4 linked regions of the Oreochromis niloticus genome follow. The protein of the gene in region 2 interacts with the protein of the main gene of each other region in a pairwise test. Links are inferred from orthologs where the notes say so. Each region holds a gene or a part of one and is shown on either strand. Other genes may lie near its edges.

What was found.
Region 1: the proteins of rabac1 (region 2) and nudt18 interact in binary tests that used the Homo sapiens proteins (3 or more experiments, as listed by UniProt). The two-hybrid records come from large-scale screens. The link is inferred for Oreochromis niloticus from reciprocal best matches to the Homo sapiens genes RABAC1 and NUDT18.
Region 3: the proteins of rabac1 (region 2) and pbx3b interact in a two-hybrid assay, tested with the Homo sapiens proteins (2 studies listed by BioGRID). The two-hybrid records come from large-scale screens. The link is inferred for Oreochromis niloticus from reciprocal best matches to the Homo sapiens genes RABAC1 and PBX3.
Region 4: the proteins of rabac1 (region 2) and zfyve21 interact in binary tests that used the Homo sapiens proteins (3 or more experiments, as listed by UniProt). The two-hybrid records come from large-scale screens. The link is inferred for Oreochromis niloticus from reciprocal best matches to the Homo sapiens genes RABAC1 and ZFYVE21.

The regions. Positions count from the first base shown.
Region 1 is NC_031977.2:38,180,220-38,187,101, forward strand, and holds the start of nudt18 (8-oxo-dGDP phosphatase NUDT18), read left to right. Parts: upstream 1-3,877; 5' UTR 3,878-4,014; intron 4,015-4,103; 5' UTR 4,104-4,105; coding exon 4,106-4,276; intron 4,277-4,361; coding exon 4,362-4,472; intron 4,473-6,882. Other genes in the region: sdhaf1 (succinate dehydrogenase assembly factor 1, mitochondrial), read right to left, coding at 1,518-1,766. UniProt on the Homo sapiens protein: Mediates the hydrolysis of oxidized nucleoside diphosphate derivatives. Hydrolyzes 8-oxo-7,8-dihydroguanine (8-oxo-Gua)-containing deoxyribo- and ribonucleoside diphosphates to the monophosphates. Hydrolyzes 8-oxo-dGDP and 8-oxo-GDP with the same efficiencies.
Region 2 is NC_031976.2:24,028,023-24,035,242, reverse strand, and holds the start of rabac1 (prenylated Rab acceptor protein 1), read left to right. Parts: upstream 1-4,217; 5' UTR 4,218-4,371; intron 4,372-5,729; 5' UTR 5,730-5,752; coding exon 5,753-5,874; intron 5,875-6,032; coding exon 6,033-6,245; intron 6,246-6,351; coding exon 6,352-6,449; intron 6,450-6,903; coding exon 6,904-7,005; intron 7,006-7,220. Other genes in the region: dedd1 (death effector domain-containing 1), read right to left, coding at 372-512, 1,018-1,146, 1,230-1,701. UniProt on the Homo sapiens protein: General Rab protein regulator required for vesicle formation from the Golgi complex. May control vesicle docking and fusion by mediating the action of Rab GTPases to the SNARE complexes.
Region 3 is NC_031977.2:11,506,177-11,514,060, reverse strand, and holds the start of pbx3b (pre-B-cell leukemia transcription factor 3b), read left to right. Parts: upstream 1-4,869; 5' UTR 4,870-6,172; coding exon 6,173-6,420; intron 6,421-7,016; coding exon 7,017-7,096; intron 7,097-7,884. UniProt on the Homo sapiens protein: Transcriptional activator that binds the sequence 5'-ATCAATCAA-3'.
Region 4 is NC_031983.2:6,347,422-6,354,873, forward strand, and holds the start of zfyve21 (zinc finger FYVE domain-containing protein 21), read right to left. Parts: upstream 3,006-7,452; 5' UTR 2,931-3,005; coding exon 2,805-2,930; intron 2,178-2,804; exon of another isoform or gene 1,696-2,177; intron 1,391-1,695; coding exon 1,340-1,390; intron 1-1,339. UniProt on the Homo sapiens protein: Plays a role in cell adhesion, and thereby in cell motility which requires repeated formation and disassembly of focal adhesions.

The sequences.
Region 1 (6,882 bases), on a different chromosome or scaffold from region 2:
TCGTCGCTTTAGAAGCAGCTCGGCGGCTCCACAGCGACACATGTGTCAAACTAAACGCTGCTTCCGTTCGCGTGCTGTCTCCGCGTGTTTGCTGCAGAGCTCCGACTGAGCGCCGGGTATCGATTTCCATTTCTATAATCTATTCAGTTCAGTTTTGACTCAGACAGTCAGAAATATTCTAATTCTGATTATTTATCAGTTCATCTCCATATTTTTATATCTATGTATAAACCAAAGCTGACACTGTGAGACTCCATCAGAGGTGTGAGCATCACAGCAGAGGCCTTTGTGTCACAGTAACTGAGGATAAAACAGAAAATCACGAAGCAGATTTTCCTGGCCTGACTTTTTATAGCAGATAACCTTAAAATATTCTGCAGTAGATCCAAAACAGAAGAAAACCGTGAATGAACATGTGAACATGACCTGATGCAAAGTCACAGAGGTTTGATTACAGACACAGCTGAGCAATCATTTTGTAAAAGTTTACATTTCTTCAATTTGAACAGCAGAAATGAGGCTTTACTGTCAGAGGCGGACAGCACTGAGCACAGCAGCAGGCTGGTGCGTAATAAGCAGAGAATAATGCAGAAAACAGAGATTTGATGGTAAAACTGACTCTGAGTGCACTGAGAGAGAGAGAGCTGTGCAGGAAGTAAAACAGCCAAAGTCAGAGGGAGTTAATGAGCATGTTTATCAAGTGTGAAGCGTAGTTCGGAGCTTCTTTTTCTGCAGGTTCAGTGAATTTTGGTTGGAGAGACAAAACCTGCAGCATCAGAATCACTGAGCTTTCGTTCTTCAGCCCTGACGGCGCGTCCGTGACGTCAGGTGAATGATCCACGCTCTCTGTTTACATGTTTCGGCTCTCGTTTACCGTTTTGGCTGTTTGCTGGTTGTTGAAATAGTTTTGTGAGATTTAACCTGAGATTTTAGCGTTTCTAGCAAAATACATTTACATTTAAAAATCGATTCAGGATTTAATGCATCGAAATCACTTTCTTCAAACTAAAATCGACTGATTTTTTAAACCCACTCCTGCTCTGACTCCATTTAAGCTCCTTTAAACAATTTTCTGTGTAAAAACTAAAACACCTGATTTCCCTCGTTTCAGTTCCCCTGGAAACAAACTTTTTAATTTTCTTTTTAATTCCTGAAAAAAAAAAATAGTCACATGACTCTTCATCTACCCAGAATGCAGTGCAGACGCATGAAGAACAATATGAATGATATTTCAGAGGGAGACATGAAGCCTGACCGTCATCAACACATTAACAGATTAACTCTGATGGTTTTGAGTTTCTTAAACATGAATATGAAGAATATGAGTTCGTCTTCATCACAGACACGTTTTATTGTTACAGACATCAGATAAAATTCATTACTGTCAACATTTGTTTCACTGCAGCTTCTATCGCTGCTGCGGCCTTCATAGCCCGTCTCCTGAGCACGATGGCAGCAGTTTGATGGCGCCGGCGTCTTTCAGAGGTACGGCAGTGCGATTCAGAGGTCACACGGTTTCAGCCGCACTCTTTGGGTTTGGAGAAGGAGCCCAGCTGTTTGGTGTTGACGTCCCTCAGCTGCTCCAGCTGCCGCTGGCCCCGTCGGTACAGATACTCGATGTGCATCACGTCCGTCTTCTTGATGCGGGAGTTCTCTCTGAACTCGTCGCGGATTCGGGGGACGAAGCCCGGTTTGTCCCGCCCGGCTCGCAGGAACTGCCGGTACAGAGCGAGGACCTGCTTCTGCAGCTTACTGTGCCGCAACATCAGACCGAGTCAGCAGAGACAAGAGTCCAATCAGAGGGCAGCTACGCACACATGACGCTCCAACACCGGCGTGTCTCCGGCTGCACTCCCTCACACGTCCACTCTGAACACACCACGAGGCTCAGCTTCACCCGTTTCTTCTCATTCAGGGTCTTAAAGAAGATGTTTGCCTGCAGGAAGAACACAAAGAGAACCGAACAACAAAACAGCATTCAGGCAGATTCATCACGTCACGGTCGCTAGTTTTATTCTCCCACAGGAGAAACTGACACCTTGAAGACACGACAGAAGGCATCTGCTCACCTGCAGCTCCACATTTGAATCCTGCAAGAACAGCTTTGCATCAATCAAAGTTCAAAATAATCCTTCTTTATCTCATGTTCTCTCTCTCAGCCTCCTAACATGCCTTCCTCCTCTCCTCCTCGGACTTCGGTCAACAGCAGCACAGTTTCCCCTGAGCCAGACTGAATATAACAAATCTTCTCCTTTTACCTGCTTGTTTTTATTCAGAATGCATTCACTGGAGTTCTGATGAAGGAACACGTTTTTGGCTCTCGCTGTTTCTGATCTTTAACAAAGGCACAGATCTAACAACACAAACACAGCTGTACTTATGTGTGTTTCATATTCCTGCACAAGCATGAACGTGCACGTGAGCCCAGACTGTTCACACAGGTGTCGACCTGCACGTAAAAGCACGTTTTTATTTCAGTAAAGACTCTTCCTCCGTACTTTTTTTTTTTTACCTGACTGCCTCTCCTGATTTTCTCATCCCTGATTGGTTTCTGTGATAATTGAACTCACCTGGCACACGTTATAACAACAACAGAGTTTAGGTGTGTCTGTCTCTCGCTAAAACACATTTCAGCTAAAATAACATGAATAAGTGATCTTTGGATTCTGATTGGATGCCCATCCTTTGACCCTCCTGAGTAACAGTTTTTACAGTAACACATACAGTAGTATTAGCATTACTTATATTATAGTACTACACGCAGTATTACCAGTAGCTATGGCTTATGAAAGTAACCCACAGCCGGTATTTGCCAAAAACTGATTGCTCGTATTTAAACTGCTATAAGTAACTTGTTGGGCTATAATATGTGAAACATATGTCAAATGCATCCCTCATGGATGACATAAAGTCATCTGGAGCCACAAACAACATTTGTGTACCAAGGTAGAAGCTGCAGTCAGTTTTTGCCAGTGACTTTTATATAACCTTTATTTATGCAGTTAAAAAGAATCTCATTAACATTAAAAATGTCTTTTGTAAGAGTAAGTTGGCCAACAGGACAGCAGAGATGGCAGCAAATATTACAATAGTTCTGTAAAAATATTTTAAGTGGGGATAAAGGAGCGGATTGGTTATAATGTAAGTACAATAACACAGAGTTGTAAAGATACTTGAAAAACAGATAATATTTTAATTCTATATAAAACCCCTTTGTAAACGCTGTTCACCGAAGTCTATTTACCAACATACGTAAAGATATTACACATAAAAAATACACGGAAACATTGGAAATCAGTCTTTGGCACAACACCAGCGGCTGCTGGACCTCAGAGGATTGATCAGTGAGAGCGATCAGTTCAACTTCCTGTTTACCTGACGGAGTTCCGCTCAGACCGGTTCGGACCGGCTCCGCTGCTTCACCTGTTTGTCCTATTCCACCGTCACAGGTACGTCTCCCGGCTCTCTGTGAGCAGCTCCTCTGTGACCTTACTGCGTTATAACACCGGCCTCAGCCGCAACGACCAGGACAAACTACAAAACACGTGATTTCCGGGTCAGATTTTCACAATAAAGCACGCACACAGACAAATTAAAGCTCATACCCGTTTTAAGAACGCTGCTCCTGATTGGTTAGAGCTCAGTTACCTTCTGATGTGTTTATCTGAATCTGGACCGTCCAAAGCGCCCGTGGGGGGGGGGCTGTTCGAGTGGGTTAAAAGCTCTTACTGCGGCGGCGCGGAACAGGAAGATTAGTAGCACTTCCGGTGTCACCTTCTGGAGTCAAATGTCAAGACAGGCGAGCTGAAGGAGGGGGGCTCGTGCTTTTATCACCGGCATCTGTTTCCGGGGGGAAGGCTTCGGCGATTTATGACGCCGGTACCTGCGGAGAAAGTAACGAAGTACTTTTAGTGAACTACAGTTTTCAGGATTCAGATCCGACAGTAAGAGAGGAAGCTCTCCCAGCGTCTGTCACACCTGGTAGACACCAGAAACACCACACCTGGATCACAGGTGAGCCTCCGCGCGCTTGCAATCACAGCCTCGAGCTCTGCGGTGTTTTTTTTAGCTGATGAAGACGCTCTCTGTTCTTCCTCTTACAGACATGGAGATGACAGCTGAGGAACAGCAGCAGGTGGAGGAGCAGGTGGAGAGGCTTTTAAGTGGGCAGGGGTCAGAGGTCACTGTGTGTGATGTGGGCCTGGAGCAGAGCAAACCCGCCACCCTGAGGAAGAACGTCACCTACATCGTCTGTGCTGTCATCTTCAATGAGAAGGTGAACAGAGGTCACCACAGGTAGCCACTCCGTCTCATCAATACCCTTAAATGATTGCTTATTTAATTAATTAACACTCCTTCAGGAGGAGGTGCTGATGGTCCAGGAGGCCAAACCGGACTGTTACAAACAGTGGTATCTTCCTGCTGGGAGGGTGGAGGTGGGGGAGAGCCTGGAGGAGGCGATGAAGAGGGAGGTGAGTGAGGAGGAGCCTGTAAGAGTAAGAAGCTGCAGCTCCTCCAGCGTCCAGCAGGGGGAGCAGCGAGTCAGGCCCCATAGACTCCCATGTTAAAACAAACCTGTTTACAGCCTGATACACAAACAGTTTGGTCTCTGTGGATCATATACTCCTTCATAACAGCTGTACACGGAAGAGCGTTTCTATTACTCACCTGTTCAAATTGTATTCAGGCTTAAAGTTTGCATTATTAGAGGCGTGGCCTCTTTGACTGACAGGTAGATGGTGGTACAGGTGGCTGTAGCAGCTAGCTGTCTGCTAGGCTTCACCTTAACTAATGGGAGTCCCTGAACTGGACCCCTGGACCCTGTTTGTGCTGTTGGACCCTTTTGGAGCTTTTTAATGACATCATGTGACCAATAATATGCCTGCTGTGAGGTCACTGTTAAAACAGAGCATCCAAGGAGGCGGAGCTACAGTTCAGATATTACTGAGCACTGATTAGCAGATATGTGTTTGTGTGATGTTTGCATAAGCTCTGTGAATGCAGCTTGCCAACTTTCTAACCAAGATATGCCAAATACGGTCACTTAAGGTTGAAAAAGTCAAAATACTGAAATAACAGTTTGTTTTTTCATTGGGTAAGCACCGCCTTCCTTGCTTGCCCTGACAGAACAACACTGCTTTACAGAGATCAGGGGGCGAGGAGGAGGAGTGATCTGGCTTTAACATCAGTGTTATGTCACCTGTGTGAACATGTTTGTTTTTTGTATATCAATAAAATGTCTGAAAAATCATAATCAGAGGCTTTGCTTGTTTTGAACCTTTTTAACATTGGAGTCTATGGGAATAACTCGCTGGTGGAGCCCCAGGTGGACGTTAGAGGAACTGCAGGTTTTGGTGTTTCAGTTTTTTCTTTTTTAAAAAAAAACTCTTTTATTACAGTTTTTTCTGATGGCTTAAGCACATTTTTTGTAACTATTGGCTATTTTTGCAAAACTCTACACACAAATAAGAAAACTCTTCACCCAATCAGCAAAACATTGTAGTTTCCTTGTAAAAGCGAATAACCTTTGCTTAACTCTCCACACCTTTGTAAAAATGGTATTTTCGTATCCAACAGTTAACACAAGCCATCATATTAATAAGCACACAATGCACCAACTACACACTGATGGTATGAATGAAAACACATCTGGCTTTTGCTTTCTCTGTGCACAAGGTAGGCTATGTCAGATTGAGCTCATACTTTTGTCATAGATCCGTAAGCATAGAGGGATCCAAACTTCAAGTACTGCTGTTTATTCACACACATCAAAACAAACACAAGTGTTTATTTCCAAGTATAGGATTATTTCCAATCACCATATTGACTATATGGGTTTCTTGGTCTGCAGTGAACATGCTTCCTCTGCTCCCAGCATCTGGTCGTCTAGCAATTCTGTAAAGTAACAATTTCAGTATTTTTACATCTATGGTATTGTTGTGTTTCTCATTAGCATGGCAGTGCTACAGATCTTAGTGCAAAGTGACTGTACTAACCGACTCTCATTTCAAAATGTCCTTATGATGCTTGCTACAGTGTAGCGGCTCGAGTTAGGCTGAACCCGTTGGCCTCCTCTAATTCTCACTCTTCCTGCTCCCTCCATTGTACTCCACACACACAGAGCTTACCTGTAGCTTATTTAAAGTGCTTAGGCTGATTGCAAAGTGATCTAATGATCTAAAAAAGTTTTCACATGTGACAGTGTGCCAGACAGTTGGCAAAATAGTGTAAATAATGGCTATAAATGTGTAAAGTTTTGCTAGGAGTGTGTTGATCATTTGGAAATTGAGTGTAAAGCCGTGAGTTGTGTGTTTACAGTTCTGCAAAAAGAGTGCTGTGCAGTGGATTGTAGCTACAGGTTTGCAAAGTGTGTGTTACAAAATGGCAAACTGAGTGCAAAGCAGTGTTTGTGCTTTTAGTTTTGCAAACTCAGTGAGTGGTTTTGCCATAAGTATTAATAGTTTTAGAAATTGTGCTATAAGAATCACAGTTAGGGTTTAAGCATTCAGAAAAAACTGTAAGAAAGTACATTGAACATAACAGTAGTATGACTCTCTACATTGCTTTTGCTTTCAGATTTGTAAACTTATAGTTGAAAACCCCCCCCGTAAGAACTTGGGTTGGGGGTAGTGGGGTAGCCAAGTTAGCTTCGCGTTATTAGCATGGGTATTTCAATCAGTGCACGAGCATAAAAGTGGCAGGCTTGATAGAAAATCCCACCTCACAGGCTCAAACATATTCTGTAGAAGGTATCCGTCTGCACTTTGAGAGAGAAAGACAGTTTTTCCATGGTATAGATGTCTTCTACAGAATATATCCAGTCTTCAGTCAGGCTTGAACCATCTCCTCGTGAGGGCCTGTTTACTCACATCCGGCAGTCCC
Region 2 (7,220 bases):
TCTCCTAAGTCTATAAATAACATGTCAAACTGTATGCTAGCTTTTAAACACTAATGTTCTTAAGCATGAACTTGGTGTTTTTATGCATTTTGGTGTGACAACGAAAAAAAATTTTTTTAATAAAATTTTGGCATTCCAGATTTAGCATAGATAAACAACATCAGAATTGACGAAACTAAACAGGAAATATGATGATGCCAGGGAGGTGTTAATAGGCTGAAAATTATATTCTCGTCTGTTTAAAGAAGGAAAAATGAGCAGCAGGGGTAAATAGCAAGATGAAGGTACCACAGAAGACAAGAGAAAAACCAAAAAAATAAAAATAAATAAATAAAAGAAAGACACTTCGAGAATGCATGAGTTGCACTTACCACAGGACACTTTTTGTGGCGCTGGTGGTGGAGGCAGAGGCAGACTTTCCCTGCTTGTTTTCTTGGACTTACGGCTCCAGCCATTTCCCCTCTTCTTCCTCCGCCTACTTGCACATGGCCCAGCCACAGGAGTGTAAATACCTGAAACAAAACATATTGACTAAGTTCAGGAGTCCAAGACAAAAAGAACTGCAAAGGACTATTTATAGCTTTTCATCCAAATTTTACTGCTCATATTTGATCACAACTTTCAACAAGAAAAATTCCTGTTAAGATCATGGTGTGTACACAATGTTCTTCCCCACACAACACACCGACCAAAAAAAAAGTTTTAACCACCAAAAATTATTTTTAAATATTATTATTTTAATTAGGGTAATAATCACTGACATATAATAATAGTCAGAAATGCACAAAAGGCACCGATTTATGTGGGGAAAAAAAGTAGCAGCTTCATTGCCTTAATGGTAGAGGGACACATTTTGCATATAAGCAGAGTCAATCAGGGCAAAGAAGGCCAACTCTGAACCACAAAAAAATCTGGCACACACACACACACACACGTTTTCAAATCATCATTAATCAGCTTGAAAACACTTAAGACCGTACTTCGGGTTGGCCAAATACTAAAGAGCAGTAAACTTACCAGTTTCTAATTGATGTGCGAAAGATGTAAGAGGAGTTTCTGTCTCCCTGCAGCTGCTACTTATTCCAGAAGTACACACCGACTCCGTGCTTTCTATCTCATACCTCTGTACAATTCTCTCTGGAGAAACTGAAAAGCATAAAAAACACACAACACATAATGGCAAACTATTTGAGATCAACTACAGCAGGACATAATCTCAAGATCCTCACCTGTCCTCCTTTTCTTGTGGGACACTAAGGGTAGCAGGTCATGACGGGTAAGGACTCTTAGAAGTTGCAGTAGTGGTGCCAGGTTTCCATCACTAAGGTATCCTCTCCTCTCGAGCTGTAGCAACAGCTCAAGGCCACTCTTGGGTTTTGGATCCAAAAAGGGCTGCTGTGACACCGTAGGCTTTAATCGCTGCCATGCTTTTAGCAGCTGTGGACTTGGGGCCACACCTGGATCATCTGGATTGTCCTCACGGGGTTCAACTGTCCAGCCTGCTGGATCGAGAGGATGTGTTGCGGAGCAAGTTTCATTCAGAAGGAATGACAGGACTTCAATGTCAGTCTCTGTCAGCTGAGAACCAACTACTTCAAAGACTTCATGGAGAGACAACATCCCATAGTAGTTGAGGCACTCTGTTTCATCCCAGTACAGTGAATCCCTGAGCGGGTACCCTTGATGATGCACTGCAGCCATGGTCAGGATTTGGTTATGGACCTTTCCCACTTTTCAGCCAGTGATAAGACTACAAAAACAAATACAAAAACAATTACTATTAAAGGTTTTTAATGTCTAACAAGATACATCCGACTAACCATATAAACCAGATAAGTAGGGTTAGGTACTGAGCTGGTACTTTTGAGGGAACTGACCAAAAAATGTCAGTGCTACTGTTAATCAGCACCAAATTCTGGTACCAGAAAAAAATCTGGGTTAGTGAAAGAAAGAAAGTAAGTGTCAATCCTGCTACAACTGAAGAGGAACAAATGACAGGGCAATGGTAGTGGTGGAATGCTGAAAGCATTTTCAGGTGTGGTTACATGTTTCAAAACTCTCTCTGACACTTGTAGCGCAAAGTCCAAAGCAACACATCTAATCTGCATTTACACCTGGTCAAACAAAAATAGATCTAAAGCTGAAGAGTGTGCCATATTTTCTAGCCTGAAAGCCAAATTCACCAGAGGTCCTGCAGCTTTAACTCTAGCGCAACTGTAGCCAAAGTATAAGAAATCGAACCAATGGATGACAAAGCTTTTAGTGAGACATTGACATCTTCTTCAGGTAATAACTAGGTAGCTGGACAAGATGTCAGATAAACAGGGCTGTTTTCACTGCATTTGTTGACATTTTAACTTTTCAGCTGGTCATTTGCGGCAAGCAAACACCTTATGAGTGATGATATGTCCAAAATATTATTATCTAATAAATTGCCAATAATAGCACAACAACATTTTACACACCGCCAGCTGCCTCAGCTGTGAAAATGACCATCAGTGTTTGTATACAACAACATTAAACAGCAACGAAATAAAATGTTTCAACTGAAAAGTATGGACTTATTTTGTATGAGAAACTTTTGGATTTAAAGTATAGGGGGGAAAAGGTAAAAACGCCAGCATCAATCATCAAATGTAAAAGATAGTGAGCCCCACCCAGTGTACAGTAATATATTGGGATTTTTTTTTTTGCACATCTAAAAAAATTACTTTTTAAACAAGGTTACTGAAGGTGGAGTTAATTAACTAAAGACTATAATATATTTACTAAAGGACGTGGCCAAACATAACAGAAAAATTCATGTAGAGTCAGGTTTTCTTTAACAATTAGTGGATCAAATTGTCCGTATGTGCATAGTCACCCTCCCCTAAAGGCCTGTTCTGAGCTAGGAAAAACCCTGTAATCTATGTACACATAATGGATTGTACTTAGCGTTCCTGTAAAGGCTGCAATTCTCATTTAACAGGTTTGACCTCGAGTTTCTTCCATGTTCTATACTCCTACTTTTATTGCATTACATACGTAGCACTAAAAATGTCATCTGTGTCTGTTTAAGCTATAAAACGCTGCTCCAACAAAACGGTCAGACAAATCCCGTGTAGCTACATATAAACTGTATTTATCTATAAAACCCAGCAGGCCGTTTGTGCTATGTAACACAGTCAATGATCATGTTGGCGTAATACTGCAGCGTTACGCCCGTTCTCTAGTCTACAACCATTATATGGCTGCATCAGCTAGCTCAGCAGTCCTTGCCATTTTCACCCTCAATTCGAAACATTTTTTTAAACACGTAACGGAGGACCCCCTTATAACCACTTTGTTTCCATTCAGGTTCAGTAACACACACTAACCAGTTGGAAGCCAAAGATAGTAGCCGTTCTTCAGACGCCCAGTAACAACCGGTGAAGCAAAATTTTCCCCTTTGACAAGTTATGTAACCAGTCACGTTTGTCTGTGGAAAAAGCATAACAAACATCAAGAAGTGCAATGCAAAAAGCGGTTTAGCCAAATAACAAACCTGAAATTAACAGGTGTGCTACATTGCTAAATACGTACTGAAACACATAGGATTAACTATACGATTAAAAAATATTTTTTTTCCTCTGTATGCATTAGCGATACATACAAAGGACAGAAATGGATATCGCTTGCTAGCTCCTAACGTTAACTTACTTCAAATATAAATTGGCTGTAGTATCGACGAGCATTGGGTCACATACATGAAAGCGTGAAAAAATGCACCAATAGATAAATATTCAAAGCATTTTAACGCGATAATATTCAAGAAAGCCAAAGTAACTAGGGGGGACTCACCTCCGAGTGGGCTGAATGATCTAGTAACTTCCACAGCAACGTGCAGTTCTGCACTACGTCAACGCGGAGGAATTGACCAATCACAGCCCTCTGACTTCCACGGCGACGCCCAGTCACGTTTTTGCTCTCGCTGATCTGCCAGTCTTCTTTTGAACTGATCTGAAGACAGTTTTTCCTAAACAGTCACTTTGTAGTATTGAGCAAGTCAGTAAAGACAGCTGATTCAAGGGCGCCCCCTCCCCCTTTTTTAAATTTTACTTTTTTTGTCTTAGCTTCGACGTGAAAAAACAAAACAAAAAACAAAGCAGCACTTTAAGCGAGCTTTGCTGCGAAGTGTCCATAAGCATATAATCACAAGAATATATGTACTGCTGCAGGCTACACCCAAACATAGGAGAGGGAAAACTGCTGGATGCTGTCAGTAGGTGGCGGTGTTTGGAACCAAGGCAGCTAGGAACAACAACAAGGAAGGCAACTAAGAGCCACATCATATCCGTAAACTAAAACAGCAACAAAAGGTCTGAGGCAGTCCCGTTAAACTCATCTCCTGCTGTGAGTATATGTAATTAAACCATTGTAAATTTGGCAGTTGATATCGTTCATTTTTATTTCGGTTCATTTTAATTAGGTGTGTAAAGTTGGGGTACGATAAAATCATAAATCCGCTTCGGCTGGAGTGGTTGTTAGCAGAGAAGCTAACTGCGACAGTATTTGTACAACCAAGAGCTATTAAGAACAACTGGGAGATATGATGGACTATATACCGGGGTTTAGAAATGCCATTCAGTTAGGATACTTAACTGATTAAAAATAAAATAAGTGAGTATTCGCTGGAAATTGTGTTGTGGAATATCCGGGCGTAAGTTTAGTGATGTGGCATTGACCAAGCCCTCTTGCTGACGAACATTTTCCTCTGCCTACTGTTGCTAAGCTCGGTCTTTTGAGTGTTGTTTCTTCAACCTCTGGGAATGACAGGATTGAGAAATGCAGGAATATAAAAACTGGTGTTGGTCACGAACTTCATACACTGGCTGATCTATGTATAAATACCTTAGTTAAGAATTTATCTGGAGATAAACAAAGAGAGGGAATCAATTAAGTGGTGCCATCACGGCGCCCTTCTTCTCCTTTTGACTGTTCTCTTTAGGGGTAACCACAGCAGATCATTTCCCTCCATCTCACTGATTATATCCTTCACCACATCCATGAACCTTCTCTGAGCTCTGAGCCTCCACTCCTTCCGGCTTCACTGTTACGTCTGCCTCACTTTCAGTCACATGTGTTCTGTCTTACTTCTACCGAGTTTCATGCCCAGATTTTGGTGTTATAATATGATGGTTTAAAACAACTTATGCTGCTAAATATAAATGTCTAATGGGAGTCAACATCATAAGTATGTGTAAAATTGCATAGCAGTTTTTTGTGTGTATATAAAAACAAATTGGCACCCCTCAAATAAATTTAATCTCTTTTGCTAATTGAGGTTTATTATAGTCAAGCTTAAAATACTTTTTTTAATGAGCTTCTCAGGAATAACAAAAAATGAAAGGCATTGACAGCAAAAGTATGAACCCTAAATGTAAACCTATATGAGTCTTACTTTGTCCACCAGTGTTGTTGTGTAGGGGAAGAAAGCTTTTTTTTTTTTTCTTTCGATATTATCTTGAGACCAAGTCAGTTTGCTTGTAGTGGGGTTTTTTTTTCATCTTTTGTCTTTTTGAATCTTGAAGTTTTTACATTTTGATGAAAATTTAAATTTGATAATGAATCAAAATAACTGCCTAGATAAGCGCCTGGTGGCATTTCAACATTTCTGTCCATTGGGGAGATTTGCTTGTAGAGGGACTTGAGAATTAGTGGTGGAAATGTTTTACAACTGGTATTTACATTCTGTGTTTTCTTCCTTGCAGTTGTCTCACAGCAGACTGTGTACATGCCGTCTGGAGTGCCAAAGGGGGAGAACTGTCAAGTGGACATGGACAGCAAGGCAGGAGATCTGTTCACAGCTGAGGATGCTCATCCCACAGGCACAGGAGGCACAGGAATCCTGGCAAAGTATGAGTTAAAATGTGTTTGTCTATCACAGATTTATCACACAGTAGAACTGACATGTGCTTCTGCATCTGTCAAACCTGCTACTAATATTGTAAGCTTACTGAGCCACCAAGTGATAGTATAAATTTTGCACGTAATGTCTTCATCTTATTTCGTAGGCTCTGGCTTCCCAAAGGCTTCTCAGCTAGCATGGCTAAAGAGTGGTTCGACAAGCGCCGATTGTCCATTCGACCTTGGGCCAGTTTTGTAGACCAGCGCAAGTTTTCAAAACCCCGCAACTTTGGAGACTTGTGCCAGAGGGTGGTGAAGAATGTGGAAATTTACAACAGCAACTACACCTTCATCTTCTTGGGGCTTATCCTCTACTGCATGTAAGCCCAAAAACATGACTTTGTTAGGAGCTCATAAATCTGTTTTGGCCAGTGAGAAATGGAAAAAGTAATAAATGATCGAACTGTTGATGTTTCCTCTTTTCAGCATCAGCTCGCCCATGCTACTGATCGCCTTGGCTGTGTTTGCCGGTGCCTTTTACATCATTCACATCAAATCTTTGGAGTCTAAACTGGTTGTGCTTGGTGAGTAAAAGTGTCTCAAATAACTCAGACACCTTCACATAAATACCTGCTTGTTGATTCACCGACAAATAATATAAATGTTTCTTGGGCAGCTGCTTTTAGATAAACCTAGCTTGAATAATTAAACATCAAATTTTAAGTTGGCTATCTTTATTCATCTATTTACTTATTTATTACCACCTTTAATTTTTTGTGTATAGAAATGAAATCAATGGATTAATGAAGCGATCTATTGTATAATTTTTTTTTTTCCCCAAAATTGTTGTTCTCTACTATTACAGTTCTCAGTAGCAATAATGTAACTAAACCACAAAAGGTCTCCTTTAAAGATGTCAGTTTAGTGAAGAGTAAGCTAAATTTATGTAAGGAAAATAAAACATCTTCATTTTTATGGAATCTTTAATTGCTGTCATAATTTATGTGTTCTCAAACCTTCAATTTTAATGTGAACCAGGCCGAGAGCTGAATACGCCTCACCAGATGAGTCTGGCTGGAGCCGTTTCTCTGCCTGTGTTCTGGTTGGCCGGAGCTGGAGCTGCCGTGTTTTGGGTTCTTGGTAAGCCAAACCACATTATACTTCTTCCATGTTACTCTTCTGAATCTTTGTTTTAAAAAAAAATATCAATAATTCTTATTGTGTTTTTCTGATTTTGGAAATATAATTAAACATATTCCACTGCTGTCTGCAATGCTAACATCTCTCTAATAGTGGAACCTAAATCTTGTTCATGCATTTGTAAGAAAAACCTTCTTCTTTGTTACTTTCCCTTC
Region 3 (7,884 bases), on a different chromosome or scaffold from region 2:
ATGAATGAGGTGGACAGAGTGAGGCACTGCTGTAGTAGGTGCTGTGTTATAATGAAGCCTACTGTGTTGGTCTTCATCTGTCTGTATCACCCAGATTTTTAAACCTCAAAGAAATGATCTTATTATTAGTAGCAAAATTCTGTCATGTACCAGAAACATGGTTGAGAGGTATCACGTTTTATTAGTTTAACCTCACATACAGTATTTCCTGTAAACTGTCAACCAATATTTACTATTTACTAGTACTTTTGTATCTATATTTTCTTTTTGAGACTGTGTTCAGTTTGCTTTCTATTTCTTTTGCATTTGTATTTTAAAGTTCACTTGAAAGCCTCCACTAATTTCTTTGCAGAAGAAGACTTTATGTCCAAAACACGTAAGTAGCTTTATTTTTACACTCAACAGTACATAAAGCAATTAAAATCAACTCCTCCTCGATGAGCTTCAACTTAAAAGTGCTTCATGAAAATGCAATTAACGAGAGCCACAGTCCTGCATAATGAATACTTTTAATGTTGGTGCTATAAGTACATTTTGCTGACAATGCTTTGGAAAGCAGGATTTTTAATTTAATTAAGGATGTGAATACTTTCTCCATACATACTTTTTGATTCTACTTCAGTTTTTCATTGTGTTTATGAGTTATCATGTTGTGTCTGCCTTATGTGTATTACCCATCCTGGATATTTGTGTGTATTTGTATTGTTGAAGCGTGTGTTACATGAATAAAAGTAACCTGACTCTACCTGACTTGCACCCGCATCAGAAGCATATACGTCAAAATGTTTAATGGCACTGCTTCCTGCAGATTAAACCAATATTCATGCTACTTCTATCCACTCTAACATTTACAAGCACAATGAAGATGAATTGCATGCACAGCAGCGACAAATATCAAGAAATAAATAAAATATCCAAACCAGATGAAAGGCTGTTTATAATTGGGTTAGTAATATCCCTGGCACCGTCTGCTAGGTCATTTCCTTCAATCTCCCTGAGCAACAGGGGATCATACAGGCGACACTCAGAACAGGAAGTGTCTCGCCGCTCCGTGACAGGCTGCCTTCTTGCATTCTCTCACCTTCTTCAACACCAATTCAAATACAAGGAAGCCGGGAGAAAAGACATCTTCACTCGCACTACACCCGGTGATTTCACAAATCCTTTAATGATTTCTGACCCTTTTTGTGGACAGCGAAATTGTGAACTCATGCACCCATAACTTCTCACTTAATCTGTATTACTCTCATCACAACAGAGCAAGCCACTCTATCAGTAAATGCTAATCTCCTAATTAACAAGCTAATTAGGCAATTACAGCTTTGCAGAAGGATGCCTAAATGAAATATGACAACACAGTCACTTTCCACAGCACCTGTGGGTCTTTTCAGATGTCACGATGAGAAGCATGATGACAAAGTGTTGTCTCTGCACTCATAGGTGCTTATTCCTATGCCTCGCTAAGCACATTTGTAAAAATATTGTCATTTTATTTAACCTAATATGCAGTACTTGTGGAAACAACATGTCAAATTACGTCTAAATTATTTCTCCTCAGATAAACTGACCTGCACTGTTTTCACACCAGCAGCAGTGGTTAGCGCAACCCCTCGGTTATGTAAAGATGGTTTTGTCAACTAGTAGACCCACAGTGTCTTACTGTAAGGAGCTGTCACATACGGAAATGAATTATGTTGACATATGGCTGAAAACAACGGCGAATAGGCCTGCTATGCAATGCAATGAAGAATCATGCACTGCAACAGAGGAGAGGAGTCGGAGCCGTACCTTTGAGCCCCTCTTGACAGGTATGCAGTGTGACTTGACAGCTCAGTATTTCAATGATAAATGCAGTAGTCCTGGGACTCCCATTCACTAAACTCAGGAGTGCATTGCTCCCATACTTCAAGGTCAAATGAATGAGCAAAACCACACAGACCACTAAAGACAAATTAGAGTTTTTTTCGTCTTCACATGTTGAAATTGATTGTGATGTGAACATTTCAAACTTTGGAATTTGGTAGATACACTAATGCAAACTTTCAGCATCAGTGATTTCCTTTAACTTGACCACGTCAGTCGATTTTATTGTGAAACAATTATATATTCATTTATAGGTAAGGTTTTCTGACCTATTCTAGTAAGAAAATCAGAAGCTGAAAAGTTATTTTAAGTAATGACTCACCGTATCATGACTTCAAACGAATTTCTTTCAGTAAAAGTTGCTTCCTTTTCACAACTGAGTTCTGACTCATGAAGATGAATCATTCGCTAAAACTATTCACTATTTTAATACAGTATTACGTGGACCCCTGACAGCTGCCAGGAAAATATTCAAAAAGGAGCACTTCCTGAAGTAATAAGATGATTCTAATAATGCTGAACAGATAATGCAGTGATGTAAAATATGGTCATGCCACATTGTATCTATCTTTACCATCTATATGAGACAGGTAACTTTCACAGGTGTCATCAGAGCTTAAAATGCGTTAGCTATGTGTGACATCACTATTATAACGCGCTGTTTTTGAATATTTGCCATAGAGAAAGTAAAGACCACACACTGGATCACATCAGCGAGATTTCCACAGTCCACAGCCATAGTCTCAAACCCATAGTCAGTCTCTTACTTTATTCCAGTGTCAGCTACACACCTATAATATTTTGCAACTGCATCTTGCAGAGTTGTGACTATCATGTTGACAAAATCTGTCAACAGACACACAGACGAACACCTGCCAAAGCACTAAAAAACGCCTTTGTGGTGGTTTCTGCAACATTGTCTTGACGACCACATTTTGTCACAGTGACACACACACACACACACACACACACACACACACACACACACAGGTAGACGTACACACAAAGACAAATAGAGCAAGGTTAAAACAATATCAGCTGTTACTAGTAGATATCAAACTTTCATATAAATGACAAAGACACTTAATCAGGGAGCTACAAACATATTCAAGCTTAAGAAGAAGGTGGTATTTTGTGAAGCTGCCATAGCCCCCAGCAGTCCCTCTATTGGTCAAACAACACACATCTTTGATTCCTGCCTTCATTTTGAGCTCAGCATCACATCTGTAAATCTTTGAAGCTTTATACTGTACAATTGCGACACTGCCGTGTTGACAAAATCTGTCCACAGACAGACATACAAACACCTGCCAAAATACTCAGAAGTGCTTTTGTGGTAGTTTCCGCTACAGTAGTTGTCTCCAGGAAGACAGTTTTTCATGATGACGCACTGACAGACTCACAAGTTGAACATGATGCCAACTTTCCATGTCACAGTAACTTCTGGTGTTCATCAAATTCAGACTTACATTTTCCATAAAATGAATGAGCTCTTTTTCATTTTTTTAAAAAAATCTCTTTCTCTTTATTTAAAAGGATCAACACAGTTTAATGAACATCAATATACCAAATATGTATATTTGTCAACTATACATGACATGTTTAAAATGCAAAGATGTCACATTACAGAGAAACTGGTAGTTTACATCTGTAGACGCAGGGCAGGTCAACATAAACCTTTCAAATAAGCAAAACCAAACAGATATATGACAAAAACAAATAAACTTATTGTCATTCTGCAAGTCTATTTACTTTTAAATTTTGCTTAAAAGAGTGATATACATGCTGCACATGCATGATTTAGTCTTTTTTACATCTATGATTGTTTTTGGCAAAAATGTTACAGTTTTTCTCTACATTTGATGTTTCATGAATTAAGCTAATTCCAAATCTGATAAATATGTACACATGCAACATAGTCAAAATTACAGGCAGATGTTGACTATACAGAACATCCTGTTTGTATTTTGATGAAATTAACTGTGCAAAAATAACTAAATAAATAGATATTTTAAATGCACATGTTCACTCAGTGTGCTAAAAGGTGCTTTTAGAAGAATCATGCTACATCCTGGTATATTGTAAAGTACTTTGCGTCCACAGTACAAATCAGCAGGCTAGTTTTTAAAAAAAATTATTTTACTATGAGAAATCATGCATAACGTAAAGGAAGAGTGCGCTCACAGAGGGGCTCTGCCCAAGTTTGAACCCAGGAGTCTGGCTGTGAGGCAGACGTGCTAACCGCTGAACCACCATGCTGCCTGCTGAAACTCCCACTTCCATTATTGATGGCTGCACATTCACCTTTGAACACAGTTACCAACTGGATATAGCACTTTTCTTCAGAAGTAATAAATAGCATTTTAGGCAGCGTTTCTGCTTTTTCAGAGGTCCAGTGAAACACTGGATGGGCCACTTTAAACTACTTAGACGTCATTTATTCAGTGATGTCAGGGTGGAAGAAAAGTGGCTGGTGGAGAATTTAACAACTCACTTGAGCAAACAAGACCATATATTGCAACACGGCCGTGCTTAAATAATGTTTATGTGACTTTGTCACTTCATTGCAGGGTAATCAGAACCAAGCAAAGCCTATTCATCAAAAGTTCACCATTAACGTCTTTGCACAACACAAGCCCTCCTTTGAAAATGTGCTTTCTTCGTATAAAACTCTGTCCACATCCTTTATTCCTACACGTTATCGCTGAATTCATTTTAACTGAAGGGAAACCCCCTATTTTCTTTTTTTTTTCTGATCTCGATGCTTATAGTAGAGGTGCACTGTATATTTGCTGCCATTCCTCCGGCTCAACAACTTGTCTGCTGCCATAGCAACTGCGAAGGAGCACAGAGCAGCGCCGCCTGCTTGTGCAGTGGATGTCACTCGTAGCAACGACCAATCAGAAGTTCCCATCCTTTTGTAAGAGCTGTGGTGAAGATGGAGGGATGAAGTGGGTGGGCTTTCGGCATCATGCATCTGCCAGCATAGGACGCGGAGCTCGTCAGTCTTCGTCATTCTCGCCCGGGATTGGTCGAGGAGCTTTACTTTCCAATAATATAAACATGTCTACTGCTTGCCTGGCTTGAACCGAGGCTTACAAGGGACTGTGCAGTTCTACATCAAACTGTATAAAAACTCTCATTATGTGTTTGCTTGTATTGCTGCAGAGCTAAATCTTTGTTATTGCTAGAGAATATGCACATAGCTGCACGTGCACGCGTGAGGAAACGAGGATACCCTGCTGCCGCTGTTGCAAGAAAGAGAGGGGACTCAGCCGTGCTTTCATCATTATAATCACCATCCTAAGTACTAGCGCTTAACATTTTGTTTTTCGGTGTTCAGGCGAGAAGTGACAAGAATATAGACCCCTCCTCTGCAGGGCGGAGCGTGCATTTTCATTTCGTATTTTGTATTTTTTTTTTTTTGTGATTATTTTTTTTCCTGCCCTCTTCCCTGCTCTGACACGTCTGCACTGAGTGAGTGGCATTGGCACACTGTCAATCGCTCACTACCGCTGCCATCAAACAACATAAAACACACACAGGCAGAGGCTGGAGCTCATAAATTTCAGAAGGGCAAGATATTTTTTTGCGCATCGCCTTTATACAGCGTTGTCTCCTAATTAATTTCTTCTCGCCGTTGCTTTTTTTTCTAGGCAGAAATCTCCCAACTTTTTGTACATTTCATATTTTTTGTAGTCACATTTGGAAACCTTGCTGCAGATTGTGTATTTTTTTTTAAATACTGTCAGTTGTCGCGGGGATAATTTCTGCACATTTATAGTTGACACCTGCGAGCCTAAGATTGTTTTTTTTATTTGTTTACACGTTTTCACAGCGGATATCTTTTTTTTTTTTTTTTAATTTTGTTGCCGGTGCTTCACGAGGAGGATTTGGACATTTTCGAAAGGAAATGCGCCGGGAATCCCACGAAGAGCGTTAATAAATGAGAGACCACCAAGGACCGTTTCTGTCTCTACCGCCCGTCAAAACCCAGAGAAAAGACTGATTGCTATGAGGATCCGTGCGGGATGTGATGGACCGTCAATTTTGACAAACAAGTTTTAAAGAAGAAGAGAAAAAAATATTTATGCGATTTTCTACAAACACAGCCAAAATCAGCGTTTTGGCACTTTGGACCGCGCGTAAAGCGACGACAACTTGGACACAAGATTTACGCTAAATAATAATAATAATAAAAACTGCTGCATATTTTTGACAAAAATCGCGTGTGTGCTGCCTAACGCCGAAGAATCACACAACCGTACATCCTTCCAGTCTGCGGCACATGTTGTAGCCGATTTCGTATATGAGTTTTTCAATTTGTGTGGCTCAGTGCACAGACTCTTTAGCGGCTACTATGGACGATCAAGCCCGGATCATGCAGTCGATCGGCGGTGTCAGTCTGGCTGGCCACTCGGTACAAGGAGGCATGGCACTGCCGCCTCCACATGGACACGATGGGACAGACGGAGACGGAAGAAAACAAGACATTGGTGACATTCTGCATCAAATAATGACCATAACTGATCAAAGTCTGGACGAGGCGCAAGCAAAGTTGGTTGATTTATATGTTTTATTAACTTCGCCACACCAAAAAAAGAAAAGAAAAAAAAAAAACGCCGAACGCATCATTATTGAGATGTGGCCCGTTTAACTTAACTCCCCAATGCACAACAATAGGCTGGAGTGGCTTTAATGATAATCTCACTCTGAGGTGTATTTATTGCCTCGCAAAGCTTTAACACAGTGAAAGTTGCCACTGAGGGAAGCACAGCATTTTAGTTAAACTGTCCTAGAGAGCACGTGTTTTATAAATGTTCATTCATCTACAAAAGTCTACGTGGTGTTGAAACACAATTAATGCCAGTGGGCTCATGTTATGCAGGGAATTGCCACTGAGACTAATATTTACATTAGGGCTTGGTGTTATTTATGAAATGCTTTTATTAAAAAACCCCCCAATAAAAATAGCATGACACATTATACATTTTAGAAGAAAATGCTAACTTTCTGAAGAAGAGGCTTGGAACATTGGAACATTATTAAAGTGGCAACTAAACTTAAAAGCGTGTCCAACCCTTTTAACTGTTTGTGTCAGACATGTGAACTATCATTGAACTTATTTCAGTATTTTATTTTCTCTTATACTGAAACAGGAAACACGGACTGAACTGTCACAGAATGAAACCAGCACTCTTCAGCGTTCTCTGTGAAATCAAAGAAAAGACAGGTAAGATCTTTGTCTAAAATACTGTAATATCAAACTATAAACTCCATCGTTACAGTGATACATGCAATTGGAGAATCAATAAAAGCACACAGGCATTTCTTATTTTATTTTTTTACCTCTCAGTGAGCTGATGACAGCCTGCATCCAGGTTATAGGTGACCTCTGACCGAATGAATCAGTCACTTTTTAAAAATATGTCACCGTACCACTCAGAAACTCCCGTTGTCACGGAACAATAGGCAGAGTCTTCTTCCACTGAAGATGCTCTTTTTTTCTTATGCAAGTGTGTTTTAAAGCACTGGTTTGCTTGGATTTGAACATAAAGTGCGCTCCAGATTTCACACTCACCACCCTGCCAGTGAAGAGGCTGGGGGAGTCCCGTAGCATATGCTCTACATATCCTAGATCACACAGAATCCATGCTGTAAAACCTGACAACGTTTTGCTATCAACTTATAAGAGATTTTTTTATTAGTCAGATTATACGACAGGCTCGCAAATTCATAATTCGATTGCAGTTGTATGAAAGCCTTCCTGCAAAGGTGGATGGTTGATCTTGGAAAATGCAAACAACACATCTCCTGGAAGCTTAGTTAGAGAAAGGGATTGTGAAATAATAATAAAAAAAATCTTCTTTTTATATATTTATATGAGCATAAACTCTGTTATTTCTGTTTTTTTAGGACTAGGATTGAAAACCTTTAGCATGCACACACACTTCATTCATATATTATTGAGAGTTGTAATTACAAGTTTTGTGTCATAATTTTTATAGCTTGAACTTTGTG
Region 4 (7,452 bases), on a different chromosome or scaffold from region 2:
ACGTTTTCAGGAAATCTCAAAACGATCTGGCTGAGATACAGCACCGTTTCCAACCAATCAGAACTTCTATTACACCCCCAACTGTGTGCCTGACTCACTCTCAGTCACAGTATGTCTTACAGCAATACAGTGTACAGTGGATACAATTTAAACAAAACAAGTAGATATGATTTCATTTCTGATGAGGACAGCACTTTTTAAAATGGAAACAAAAGACATTATCTGCAAATTAGTAAACATGATACTAGGACAACTTTTTTTAATGTAACTTTAAACCACTATGGAGGATATCCTTATAGTAACTCTAAAGTTTTTAGTATAAAATGTGTTTAATGGTTTCAAATAACAGTTTCTAAACAATATAGAAGAGTCCACTTTCCTTGTTTTATTCTAGTATTATATTCTAGTTTGACTGCAGTGGAACACATTCGCTACTGTATTAATTTTTATAGTAACAGATCCCACTATTAATTAATAAACAAAGTTTATTATAACGTGTATAATGGATATTGTGCAGACTTTGATGGTACGAAGTTGTTACATCTATTAATGAGCAGTTTTTTTTATTATCAGAGCAATTTCCTGTAAATTTCCACATCACTGATTTTGGTGAGTCATGTGTTACATTAGTTCCCAAATTTTTTGGCTTGCCTACAAATGTTGAGACCTCTGAGGCCTGGATAACAAATAAATAGAAGCCCTTGATTTCCTGAGGGATCCACCTCTGTGCTGGTGGGTTTCTGTTGCACTCTGAATAAGTGTGTCAGTTTTGGACAGAATGTGCTTTTTAATCAGAGACTTTGAGCTGATGAAGAAACACTTCTCAAGAAGAGTATAAGAGACTGAGGCAAAGCAAAACCACATCTGCTTCACTGCACTTTTAAAGAATCGGGAAGCTTAAAAATATCAAAACTGTGCTAAAACCTCAAGATAACCAAGACGTGAGGGATGCAGAGTACAGGACATGTGTAATTCAACACCTAGAAACTGACTTCAGGCAGCAGTCTAGAGCTGGCTCTGATAATGACAAAAGAGGCAAATATGGAAGACACTTGTAAGGGTGATTATTTTAACTCAGTAGGTGTAAAATGAAGTGGTGGCAGGAGGCTTACAGCGTTATGTCGGTGGACACTGGCAGGAAATATCAACACACGGCTCTGACTAAATGATCCAAGAAGGAGTAACTCATCTATGCATTCACAACACAAACTAAACGAAAGCCTCACATTGTTTAACAAAACATTTATACTAGACGCTGGTTTATCCACCATATGTTTTTCCAGTCTGACAGGAAGTCGAGATTTTTTGCAGCGTTCGCATTGTCAGAAACAAAACAGACCTTTCTTTTGATGAAGTCGAACTTGGTGTCGCACTGCATACATCTGGGGCACTGAAAGACGGGAAGAGTGGAAAAAACAGGATGTTACACAACATGCTGAGCTGGACAGCTTTCGGTTAAAGTACTGTTTTAAAGTTTTGCACAAGTATCATCAGCTAGTCAAGCCACAATAGATCTGCAGCTGTAAGTGTAAATAATAATAGTATACAAATAGTATGTGTTAATGGCTCTTGTGTCTTATGGTCATTACTGACAAGTGGTAACTGTTCATTAAACCGTCAAACTTGTGATTTATCACTGACAGATCAAAAGATATGGGTTTGTAATTAGTGCCAGGCTTGTGTTTAAATCCCTACCCCTCTTATTAAAGATCTGAACGCTGAGCTCAGCAAATAGTAAATGATTAACTTCGCCAGTCTGGTCAAAGTGTCCCTGTGTGCAGCCAGAGTTTACATTTTCGCAGACAGACAGTCTTTGTGTGTCCTCCTGTAGTTTTACTGCACTGTGTGCCAGTGCAGTAAAACTACAGCCTTCGAGGCACGAAGGGCTAGCTCCTACTGCTGTTTAGCTAACCTACGTGCTGGTAGTCAAACACGCACACAACCAGAGGGGTTTCGTCACTCTGACGCTGACAAACGCTACAATTAAGTTTGCCGCTAGTTGTAGCTGTTAACTAGCTAACAAGCTCCGTTTGCTGCCAGGCTGGCCGTGACAGCCTGCAACGCCCAGTCCAGCGGCCAACTGCGATGTCCGGAGCGCCGTCAAGCTCGCCGCAGTCAGCAGGATGTAAGCCGGATGTAGAGCCGTTTCACTACAAAAAATAAAAGCCTATCACAGCGCAAATTAATCTGAAAAGCACTGATTAACAACTCTTAAAGTATAAAACAACAATAAAAATTCTTTAAAAAAAAAAAAATTTACTACGCCCAGCAGCTTAGATAAATATATCTGGACCTTGAACTATCGTTCAAATAAAAGCAGCTATTTAAACACATTGTGATTATCACTGATAACTTGAAACAGGGTCTTACATTTTGAAGCCCCAAACAATCAGTGTTCTAATGTAAAATGTAAATATTAGTTAATTTTGGATGTTTCCTTGTATTTTCCTTGTGAAAACAGTCCAGTGACTTTTGCTGTCAGGATTTTAAAAACAAAACAGCGCACTAAATTGTTTTTTTTCTCAAGTTATACTACAATGAATAAAATACAACATCATCAAAACTACAGCTAAAGCTACCACTAGACTCTTACTTTATTTGAGCACTTTGCGTTTTAAACGACAGGAGGAGACTAGCAGGACAAACACAAGCATTAGTAAGCGGCTTCAATTTTATTCCCACTAGTTTAACAGAGAGGTGATTTTATTTTGGAAACTACAACCGGAAAACCTTAGTTAAGCTTCTCGTGTCTGCACGGCTGTGATCGCTTGTCGCTGTCAAACCAAATCCGACGCTTGTCTCACCTCTTTGTCCGGAACCCACTGCGGCTCGTCCAGCGAGAAAGGACTGCTAAAGGCGCCGTTTTCCGGAACCATGCGAAGGCCGCTGGGACTGCGGATGAGTTTCTTCCCGTCAGGAACTGAAGACATTTTCCTTCAGCGTGTGTTTCTCCTCTGTGTTCAGCAGAGTCTCCTTCGACCACAAAACTCTCATCTGGGCACACCCTTCAGAATGATTGACAGGCTGTTTAGCGAATCAGAGCACACATTTGAGATCACGTGTTTCTCTGGCAAAGTTGAGTGTTTTGGTTTCTGCAGCCCCTCCCATTAAAAATAAAGTAAACATATTAACTACTCGTAGAAGGAGAAGTAAAACATGCGGAGTTTTTAAAACTAGCACTAAATTTAACACATGAAAGGTTGATAATGATTTGTGAAAAAAATTATAGTTATATATAGTTTACTTTGGACAACCATAATTTGAGCGGACATAAAAGAAGATTTGGCAAATTTAAAAAGTAAAAACCAACAACAGGTTTCTGCATAACTTGGTGAGCTGTGTTGAACAACAGTACCCTCTCATCACAGTTTCTGTTCTGTTACACATTATTACTCTGTAACGATACTTTAATTAATATGATTACCAGCTTAGCAGAAGACTACAGGTAAGCTTTGGTTACACCAGGAACATTTACTTACTGTATACAGAAGACACAGAGCACAGTAGTTTTTCATATTAAACAACGACCTGGGCAGAGTTTACAGAGCTATTATGTGTGCTTAAAATAATTTCATGCTCCATTTAAAAACATGTGTTTTAGAAGTCTTGTGATTTAGAAAAGGGACTACACTTTGGAGGCACTTTGTTGTGGACTGGTGCATGAAGATGGGGCTACACCGACATGATTTAACTCACGCTGTGTCAATATACAAGCGATGTGCAAACACTTTCCTCCCACAGTTTATGCTTAAGTAGTCTTAAAATATATTATTCCTTACATGTTTTTCATGGCAGTCCTTTCTCTAGCAGTTGTCCTTTTTTCTCCCCAGTCTCCCTATTCTCCCTATCACAGTTTTCATTTACTTCACACTGGGCAAACTCATCTGCCTAAAACAAGCCGCCATGACTCTTCTTCTGATTGGCTGCCCCTTGCAAATGGAAGGTTTGAACAGCAGGTGGGTGGGGCTCCTGTGCTCACAGCAAGATATGCTCTTATACTACACCAAGAGAAGAGGGGGGATGGCCTCATTAAATGAACCTTTTGCTTGATGTTTAATATTAGCGTCCACTATTGTAACTGTATGTACCCAAATCAATTTCCTATACTGACTAGGGCTGCCACAAACGATTATTTTGATAGTCGACTAGTCACCGATTATTTCTGCGATTAGTCGACTAATCAGATCATGCATCCATTGAACGTAAAACGTACAGTTTATTGCACCAGCATGCATCTGCTCTTATATAACTATCATTAGCTTACAGCTTTAAGTGTTTAAGGTATGTGCTAACTAAAAATAAAGACAAGATGATAGTTTATTAAATTTTAATGACATTTGCAGATTGTTTCGGTGGAGTTTAATAAACTCAGCCGTCTGCTCCTTGCTATCTAAAATGTAACAGGACACCAGAGTATACTCTCGAGCATCTCACACTTCTGATAATCAGTTGTCTGCTTGACGTTTATTCAGCTGTGTAAAACCTATAACTTTTCTCAGCCAAACGGATTTACTCAGGAACAAATAAAATACTAAAAAAAGCCAAACAATAACATTTTTAAGTTATCTAAGTGACTTATATTACATGTTTAACCTGAGTAGAGAAAGACAGCGGTGGGTTTGAAAACGATTTGCCGGGAGTCCGTTGTTCTCACAGGCTCTAGTGAGCCTTGAACCCTGGCTAACTATCGAGCTGGTGGGTAACAGACGTCTCTGAAAACGTCGGAGTGCTTTTGAAAATACGTGGTGTCTTGATAAACTGAGCAGATATTTGAGGTTAAACAGCTACATTCTGGCCTGAAAATATGTTAAACTTTATTTTGTGACCCCCCCCCAAAATAATAAGAGTAATATTAAAACTAACTAGCTGCCGCCATTGTTGACAACTGCGCTGGGCCGCTATGAATTCTGGGACACCGCTTCTTCTTCTTCGGGGTTTAACGGCAGCTGGCATCCTTACACATGCAGTGCTGCCATCTTCTGTTTCAGTCCGTTATTACACTCTTAAATACTACTACTTATTCCTGCGTCTTTTGGGATCTTACAAAGCTTCAAACGACGTGTCGACTATTAAATTAGTCGTCGACGATTTTAATAGTCGACGTAATCGTGACTAGTCGACTAATCGTGGCAGCCCTAATACTGACATTTTAATATTAACTCAAAGAAATGATCAAATTATGATATAAAACTTATAAAACGTTAAGTTGCTTGAATTTTAATTATTTTTTTAAAAAAATGACACACACATCCTACACAAAGCTCATTGCCCAGCTTTTAAATAAAGTGACTTGATTTCACAACAAATTCCAGTGGGTTGTTCTTTGACTATGCTCAATTAAAACAGTGAAAATTAATACAAATTAGGTCACATTTATTTTTAAATTGCTCAATTTTAAATTTACAAATATTAGAATAAGTCCAATAGTTTCAGCCAGTCCACATTCTGAGATTTTCACAATTATTGTAGGTAGTTCAAGTTGTTCTTGAACCTCTGTATTCAACATCTTTGCATTGTATCTGTGTACACTCCATTCAAAACGTTTTTCTTTGTGTTTATATCAGTGTTGCACATTTCATTAAAACCACTGAAGATTCATTTGGGAAATTGGAACAAATAATTTAAAGAAAGGCAAATAACAGTATAATGGTTTGTGACACCTTCATGTGAATTCATTCTTCAGGTGTCGATTTTTATTGAAGTTAAAGGTCTGATCTGTGAGATGTAAAGAGGGGGTTTTTTTTTCCAACAAATAAGAGAAATGAAAACAAAACCATATTGCACAACCCTGCCAAAAAAAATATGTAAGATTCAGGAAACACAACAGAGACAACGTACAATGCAGCAAATGCATTAGTCACACATCAGTACAATAATCAATGCAGCTTAAGGTGGGAGATCATCATTATTACTTTACGCCAGTCTGATGTTTCCAGTGCAAATCCTTCTCAACTAGGTGTTCATGCTAAAGATTTACAAATGTACTAGGGTTGTTTGGAGATGGACGGTTAAACCTGATTATGGTTGATCTGTGGAGACTTCTTTATCATTAGTGCATTTATTAAACAGACCACTGTGGTCATTCCTAGGCTGATATGAAGGGTTTATTCTAATTTTTTGTGCCGTTTCATCTGTTTGAGCTTTTCTCATCAATCCTTTGTATGCGCATCTTTGTATATATGTTACTGTAACGCCTTCTTCTAGATCACGTTGTACTGAATTTGTCCAATGTGAAGTTCATTGCGTTTAATTTAATGTTTAATGTTAATGTTAAAAGCTGACTCAGGATCTCTCACCAAATTTCCAATCTTCTAATCTAGTCTGTATAATCGTTGCTCGAACCTAATTTAAAGACTTTAAATTCAAAGACATGCACACAAAGGTCATGTGCAGCTGGTGAGGCTGTTTAGGTGCGTTTAGACAAAATTCTAACATTTCAGAACAGGCTTCTGAGTTCCTGTAAAAATATACATCTATAATGTATCTATATGTCTAAGGCAGTATAAAAAAATGGACTCAGCTGCAGACTACCATTGCATGTGCATTCACTCTAATAATTTTTGATTTTCATTATTTCTATAACTTCAATCTATATAGAAAATATATTTTGTAGCAGCTTACTTCTCCATAAATGGACATCATGTGCATTTGTGTGTGTCTGAAATGAAAAGAAATGTAAATACACAGCCCAGCTCAAACAGAAGAAACTCTCCACACAAAATATACCATCTCTGGGGATCTCTTAAACAAGGCACTTCATCATCATTTAACCGGTTGTATGTTCTTTCAGTTCAAGCTTACCACCAGTAAAGGACATTAAATATGCTAAATATTATGTAGCTTCCTTTTAAAGAAGTGAGCATGTACGCATAGTTACCTTCATTTAACATAAAGTTATCAAAAGGCCAGTAAAAGGAAAAGTTTAATTTCGAGATTAACTCTTAGAACAATCACAAGTCAACTTGTACATTTAAACACAGAAATTGTTTAAATGTTTTTTTAATGATAAGTCCTTCAGTATTCATACCAGGATTATGTTGGATATCTCTATATTTAACTGGAAATTTAAATCACTTCACAAAAATGTACATTAAAAATTCCGTGTGGTGTTCATTAAAAAAATTTCCACTTTTTGGTTCAACTTCACTCACATGGCAAAGTTTTGTCTCGTCATTGAAAGTCCTGCAAACATTTCTCCCGTCATTACTTAAAAAGTCTGGAGTGACGTTAAGTTTGTAGTCAGTGTGTGGAAGTACAGCCTCAGTCCTGAGAGTGTGCGGGCCAGCCTTCGTGTGCTAGTCAGTCCACGGATCCTGCTCTCAAGGCTTATTACAGAACGATATAAAAAGAAACAGCGCAAAGACAGAAACAAATAAAAACATAATTTACAAACCCCAAATCATGTAAACATGGAACTTCACACATCGAAAGCTAAATATTGAATCAATCAAC